2 linked regions of the Xenopus tropicalis genome follow. The protein of the gene in region 2 binds, or shares a complex with, the protein of the main gene of each other region. Links are inferred from orthologs where the notes say so. Each region holds a gene or a part of one and is shown on either strand. Other genes may lie near its edges.

Region 1 (3,679 bases), on a different chromosome or scaffold from region 2:
GATGAGCAAGTTTGCGCCCATTTTAGGAGGAATGTTGGTCCCACTCCTCTTTGCAGATCATCTCTAAATCCCTAAGGTTTCTGTCTCTGTGCAACTCTGAGCTTGAGCTCCCTCCATAGGTTTTCTATTGGATTAAGGTCCGGAGACTGACTAGGCCACTCCATGACCTTAATGTGCTTCTTCTTGAGCCACTCCTTTGTTGCCTTTGCTGTATGTTTTGGGTCATTGTCGTGCTGGAACACCCATCCACCACCCATTTTCAGTTTCCTGGCAGAGGGAAGGAGGTTGTCGTTCAGGATTTCACGATACATGGCTCCGTCCATTTTCCCGTTAATGCGAATAAGTTGTCCTGTGCCCTTAGCAGAAAAACACCCCCAAAGCAAAATGTTTCCACCCCCATGCTTGACGGTGGGGACGGTGTTTTGGGGGTCATAGGCAGCATTTTTCTTCCTCCAAACACAGCGAGTTGAGTTAATGCCAAAGAGCTCTATTTTGGTCTCATCAGCCCACAGCACCTTCTCCCAGTCACTCACAGAATCATTCAGGTGTTCATTGGCAAACTTCAGACGGGCCTGCACATGTGCCTTCTTGAGCAGGGGGACCTTGCGAGCCCTGCAGGATTTTAATCCATTGCGGTGTAATGTGTTTCCAATGGTTTTCTTGGTGACTGTGGTCCCTGCTAATTTGAGGTCAGTAACTAACTCCTCCCGTGTAGTTCTAGGATGCTTTTTCACCTTTCTCAGAATCATTGACACCCCACGAGGTGAGATCTTGCGTGGAGCCCCAGAGCGAGGTCGATTGATGGTCATTTTGTGCTCCTTCCATTTTCCAACAATCGCACCAACAGTTGTCACCTTCTCTCCCAGCTTCTTGCTAATGGTTTTGTAGCCCATTCCAGCCTTGTGCAGGTCTACAATTTTGTCTCTGACATCCTTGGACAGCTCTTTGGTCTTTCCCATGTTGGAGAGTTTGGAATCTGCTTGATTGATTGATTCTGTGGACAGGTGTCTTTTATACAGGTGACTAGTTAAGACAGGTGTCCTTAATGAGGTTGACTAATTGAGTAGAAGTGTCTAACCACTCTGTGGGAGCCAGAACTCTTAATGGTTGGTAGGGGTTCAAAAACTTATTTCACTCAATGAAATGCAAATCAGTTGCTATGTTTTATTTAAAGTTATTTTTTCCATTTTCCTTTTGATGTGCTATCTGCCACTGTTAAACCTACCATTGAAATGATACTGTTCTGAGACTTTTCATTTCATTGTCATTGGACAAACTTACAAAATCAGTGAGGGGTCAAATAATTATTTCCTCCACTGTACATACAGGGATACAGGGTGTGTTTAGTCAGTTAAAGCATTTTCTTTAATTACCAAATAAACTGTATTATTTCATGTCTTGGCTATGGAAACTTAAATTTGCTAGCTAACAAATACGTTTCATTAATTGGTCGTCGCAGAGATATTTTGCTATGATTGGCTGGCTGAGATACAAACTCCATAGCGGACATTTTCCTGGATGGGTTGCCCAAGGAAAAACTCACCGAGCATGAACGCAGTCCACTGTCCCTCTGTAGCCGTCTAAGTAAGTGGCGCTCAGGATCTCGTCTCCAACAGCTCTGGCAATAAACTGGCCCACCAACTGAAAAGATAACACTGTGAGCAAAGGCAGTGTGCATATAGATATATACAGGCTGGAGTGACGGCACACAGGATTTTCACAAAAGAGTCGCAAGACCAAAAATAGAATAAATCAGAGGTTTATTGAGACCAACGTTTCAGCTCCACACAGGAGCTTTCGTCAGGTAGATAAATAAATTTATGAAAAAGTCCTGTGTGCCCTCTCCCTCCTAAGTGGATATTTGTTATGGCAGAGCACAAGCACTGTTTGCTAATAAAAAAAAGGGAAGGCAGAGCATGAATATTTAGTATGACACAAAAACTTGCAATTTAATGTTATTTTTTTATTGATTTTTCTGTTTTTAGCTTTTTGTTCTGGAGATTTCAGGGCATCAAAGTTGATTCATTTTCTAAGTGAAGATCCCAACAACAAATCTATTTTATGACACTGATGTGCAACCTGTGGATTTGCACCAATAATAGTGAAAATGCCATATCGCACATGAACAAACCTGTGGAGCTTGGGGTGTATCCAAAACCAGTTCCGGCATCTCCTGGAGGAGTTTGTCGAATGAACGTTCTACATCCTCAGTGCTAAGTAGGGTCCCACAGAGATGGGAGAGAAGCTTGGATGTCATTTCCCGGTGGCTGGCTTTCCCTTCCAGAGCGAGGGACACGGCCAACACCGGCAGGCCACATTTCATTTCACCAAGGTTTAAACCTTTTAACATTTCCTGCAGGAAACCAGACATTTAATAGCTTCATATTGCCCCCCAAAAACATGTATTCTAATAATAGTTGACTAGAACACACAGATGGAAGCTTACAGGGAGCAAAAAGTCTGTGACTCAGGCAGTGGGTGGGACTAGAACACCCAGATGGAAGCTTACAGGGAGCGTGGCAGAGGGTCTGTGACTCAGGCAGTGGGTGGGACTAGAACACCCAGATGGAAGCTTACAGGGAGTGGGGCAGAGAGTCTTTCCTGTTCCTTCGCATGGCAGTGGGCAACTATGGGTTAATCCCCTGTCACGTGACCATAATTAACAAGTTCTCAATAAATTTGGCTCCCCGCCCCCAGGCATCCATCTCATTTTCTGTCACTCGAGCTCACCCCTAGTACCGGCAGGATGTCTGAGCTCTACCTGCTGAAGCTCCAGGTCCGGGTATTATAGCCTGTGTGGGGCCTGTGAGGGTTCAATCTGAACCATGGCCGAATTGTGCCTACCATCGCAGTCAGTCGCAAAGCCTTTGGGATATGCGCAATAAGCCGGTGTTTGCATCCAAACTGTAAGTATGAGTATTATGATGCAGGGGTGCAAAAGTGGTGAATATGGTATTAAATTATTACCAAAGAACATTTCATCAGTGTTAATCTGTCGTTAAGACTCAGTATTATTTGTATAGCAAATACTTTCATTTCTATATACACAGTCCGGCAGTTACATTTTATATTGGGACACATGGAGCAAGCTCTTTAATATTATGATCTTTTACCATATATTTATAGGCTGGTTTAGTTTTAACTCCTAAACAGCTTTTTATGGACGCAGTGTTTCACCAATAATTCTTGGCATATGTTCTAAGTCTTTTATTTTCCCTGGGGTATTGCCCTAGTGTTACACTATGGCCTCTTCTTTGGCTATTTTCCCTCTCTTCCTGTTCCTATCTGTACTTTACAGCATATGTAAAACTGCAGGAAGTCTGGTCATTCTATTGAATACAGTATGTGTTTCAACAGTTTTCCCTTTACAGTTCAGAGAGGAGATGTATGGCACATTAATATAATCTGCTGCAGTATATCTTTTTAGGATGCTGTATCATCTGCAGCCCTTCATTAGGGCACTGTTGCGCTCTGTCATTGAGGCGTTTCTTCATTGCCGTACTATAATATAATTATTTATCGATATACAAACATAGTGATAATTCATTGCTATTTGGTAACTTTTTGTCTAGTGCTCATATTATACTATATAATTTCGCTATAGGACTATCTGGAGTTATCCAGTACATTCTGTGTGTCTGCATTAACATTTTAGTATGTTGAATTAATAATCTCTCTA
Region 2 (3,457 bases):
ATTGTAAGCTCTGTGGGCCAGAGTGTGCGGTATTAATATGCTCACTACCCATCAGCAAAGAGGAATCTGCCATAGAAGTGCCTATAATGTGTAGCTCCACCCCCCGTCACTGGGCAAGGGCATGTCACGTGGCATCGCTGCTTATATCTGGCGGGGGCAGAGAAACCTCCCATATTCATCCCAGCGCTGTGCCCCCATGCCTGCTGGCTGGTTCATGCTGTGGGCACAAATGCCAGGAAGGGGGGATCCAGCTGTGAGTGGGGCGGAGCATACATTGAGTACGTTGTCGCGTGGCGCCAGTGCAGCACTCACTCCGCTCTGTATCCGCAGCCCCTAAATACATAAAGATGTTCGTGTTGGATGAAGCCGACGAGATGTTGAGTAGAGGTTTCAAGGATCAAATCTACGACATATTCCAGAAGCTGAGCAGTAATGCCCAGGTAAGTGCCCGCAGCCTCTGCCTGATTGGCCTAACCTCCCCGGCTATAGTCCCACCCTCACGGGGCACGTGCTGAGCAACAACATCCTGCCCCGAGGTACCACATTCCCTCTGTCTTGTGGTTTGTACAATGCTGCACTGATTGGAGAACGACTCCCTGTACAGCCAATGAGAGCTCATGCCCTCCCCCTGTCATTTCCTCTCAGCCAATGAGACCTTATGCCCTCCCCCTGGCATCTATTGGCCAATAAGACTGTTCATGGTTGCCCCCAGACTCACTTTCCAATGGGGGCTCAGTGTAGTGATGATATCCCATGCGTGTCATCTGATGCCCACGTCTCTCTCTGCCCTTGGCCTGCGCAGCCTGCGTCCTGCGGGTTGGGTTTGGCTAGAGCAGAGGAGTCTGGGAAATGATCTGACTGTCTATCTGAATACTTGCCCCCCTTGGAACATGAAGAGGCAATTGGCTTGGTGCTGGGCAGTTAGTGGCTGCAGATTAACAGTGTCTTCTCCCCCAGGTGGTTTTGCTCTCGGCCACCATGCCCGCCGACGTGCTCGAGGTGACCAAGAAGTTCATGCGGGACCCCATCCGGATCCTGGTTAAAAAGGAGGAGCTGACCCTGGAGGGTATTAGGCAGTTCTACATCAACGTGGAGCGAGAGGTAGGTGCCTTCCTCTGGGTTCCATTGGCCCTGGGGGGTGGAGCAGTCGTTGGGATTGCACCATTACCCCCTCATAGGGGAAAGCCAATAGGAAAGCTTTAGTATATGGGGGGGGGCGAGGGTGGAAGGTGCCCCGTCACTGGGCAAGGACTGGTCTGTCTGTGACTGTGCTTCTTATATCTGGTGGGGCGAGAGCAGCGGCCCATATTCATCCCAGCGCGGCTCCTCTGTGCCTGACGGCTGGTTCATGCTGTGGGGACACTTGTAGTGAGGGAGGGGCCAGGCTGGATGGGGAGGAGCTTCCTTTTGCTGAACCCCTTTTGCCCCCCGATGCAGGAGTGGAAGCTGGACACATTGTGTGACCTGTACGAGACACTGACCATCACGCAGGCCGTAATCTTCATAAACACGCGCCGGAAGGTGGATTGGCTGACGGAAAAGATGCACGCGAGGGACTTCACTGTCTCCGCCCTGGTGAGTTTTGCCATCGGCCGCCTGTGGGGGTGCCATGATTGCACCCAACCCCCGTCACTGGGCAAGGACTGGTCATGTGACTATGCTTCTTATATCTGGCGGGGGGAGAGGAAATGATCCCATGTTCATCCCAGCGCGGCCCCCCCTGTGCTCGACAGCTGGTTCATGCAGTGGGGACACGGCCCCCTGGTGGTTTCTAGAGAGGAATTCTCACCCCCTTGTTCCCCCCCCAGCACGGCGACATGGACCAGAAGGAGAGAGACGTCATTATGAGGGAGTTCCGATCTGGATCCAGTCGGGTTCTGATTACCACAGATTTGCTGGTGAGTTGGTTGGTTCTGCTTGTGGGGCAACCCGCTTGGTTCTGCTTGTGGGGGTGTTCGCTTACAATGTGTTCTGCCCACAGGCCCGAGGCATTGATGTCCAGCAGGTCTCACTGGTCATTAACTATGATCTGCCGACCAACAGGGAGAACTACATCCACAGGTAAGTGGGCCGGCTCCTATTGGGCCAAGGGTATTCCCTCTCTGGCCAGTAGCCCATGCTGGTGTCAGAATGTAGACCCTTGGTATAGTAACGTCCATGCTCCACCGCGGTTCATGCTGCCTTTGTGTTCCGCAACTTAAACATGGCCGACACGCCGCTAACTGTGGCTCCTCCCCCTCTAACCTGTCCTGTTCCTTTAGGATTGGCCGAGGGGGCCGTTTCGGTAGGAAAGGAGTTGCCATTAACATGGTGACAGAGGATGACAAGCGCACGCTGAAAGACATAGAGACTTTCTACAACACCACAGTCGAGGAGATGCCCATGAACGTGGCCGACCTCATCTAACGCCCCCGCCGCAGTCGGAGGGGCAGAAAAACCCGAAAAAAACAGAAAAAAGCATAAAATGAAAATAAAAAGTCGGCCCCGGCTTTCTTTGGGGCATCCGCTGAATTATGGGGGTGTATAGAGCAATGACCATAGCGCCCCTGAGTGGGCGTAGCCTCCACTCCCTGTCACATGATCTGATTTTCTTTCCAATAAATGTTATTTTGAGGTATTGTGGCCGTAACCTGCATCCGTTGTTTCTTTCCTTCTGAAGTGAACACTAAACGTCACTTTTTCCCACCAAATCAGTGGACCAAAGTCCCCCCCAGCTCATCCCTTTAAGATCCGGCAGCTCAATGTGAGTTTTTTCTTTTTTTTTTTTTTACAAAACTCCCCAAAATTTAAAAAATACCATTTTATTTGCTTTTTCTGTATAGTATTTATTAAATAAAAATTTTTGCAACATAGTTTTGTCTCCTGTCTTAAGGCTTCACCCCCCTGCCCCCCAATAACCCCCCTTGTTTTATTACCCCCCGTGTAGGCGCTGTTTTTGGTGGGAAAGGATTTTCGGGCTGTGCTGCCCTCGCACGACTCAAGCGTCTATAGATAGATTGCGCCGATGATGGTTCCCGAGCTGCAATATGATTGGCCGTGGCACTTAACGCTTTAAGTGCTTGGCCATATGTCTCCCAGGTGCTCTGTTGCCTAGCAACGCATATTCCCTGTAGGGAAATAACATGGAAATGTATTCTGTGAATTGGTGACTGTGCCGAGCGTTACTGGGGGGGAGGGACATTCTCAGTTGGCTGGGAGCCCCCCTGTATTGCTCAGCCATGGTCCCTTATTAGGAGGGGCCCCATTTCCCTGCCCTAGTTACCCCATGCCTATTGCTATGTAATTAGTGCCCCTATTCCCATCAGCAGCTCTTCCTGCCCCGGTACATAGGGCATAACCTGCTAATGGGGCAGTTGGAATGTTGGTGGGATCAGGGTCTTTCTGGAAAACGCGAGCTGTTGGGAAATGTGCTTGTGGGCTCAGCACTTTCCCACAGAGCCGCTGCCCCATTGTTGGG

The links. The genes of interacting proteins can lie anywhere in the genome.
Region 1: the proteins of eif4a1 (region 2) and pdcd4 are in contact, whole or in part, in a crystal structure (PDB 2ZU6), measured with the Homo sapiens proteins. The link is inferred for Xenopus tropicalis from reciprocal best matches to the Homo sapiens genes EIF4A1 and PDCD4. Residues at the interface, in NP_001407.1 of Homo sapiens: Gln75, Thr109, Arg110, Glu111, Ile135, Gly137, Val140, Thr158, Gly160, Arg161, Asp164, Glu186, Leu188, Ser189, Arg190, Gly191, Phe192, Gln195, Ala214, Thr215, Met216, Pro217, Glu240, Leu241, Thr242, Asn280, Thr281, Arg282, Arg283, Thr329; in NP_055271.2 of Homo sapiens: Pro170, Gln173, Glu174, Glu177, His178, Glu183, Glu186, Met187, Asp190, Leu209, Glu210, Lys212, Glu249, Leu250, Leu252, Asp253, Thr254, Pro255, Arg256, Gly320, Gln321, Gln322, Ser323, Val324, Leu327, Glu348, Lys352, Glu355, Val356, Pro357.

Annotation. Positions count from the first base shown.
Region 1 is NC_030683.2:2,643,231-2,646,909, forward strand, and holds part of pdcd4 (programmed cell death protein 4), read right to left. Parts: intron 2,354-3,679; coding exon 2,132-2,353; intron 1,642-2,131; coding exon 1,544-1,641; intron 1-1,543. UniProt on the Homo sapiens protein: Inhibits translation initiation and cap-dependent translation. May excert its function by hindering the interaction between EIF4A1 and EIF4G. Inhibits the helicase activity of EIF4A. Modulates the activation of JUN kinase.
Region 2 is NC_030679.2:152,585,952-152,589,408, reverse strand, and holds the end of eif4a1 (eukaryotic initiation factor 4A-I), read left to right. Parts: intron 1-330; coding exon 331-440; intron 441-734; exon of another isoform or gene 735-875; intron 876-957; coding exon 958-1,101; intron 1,102-1,437; coding exon 1,438-1,575; intron 1,576-1,808; coding exon 1,809-1,898; intron 1,899-1,981; coding exon 1,982-2,061; intron 2,062-2,261; coding exon 2,262-2,406; 3' UTR 2,407-2,852; downstream 2,853-3,457. UniProt on the Homo sapiens protein: ATP-dependent RNA helicase which is a subunit of the eIF4F complex involved in cap recognition and is required for mRNA binding to ribosome.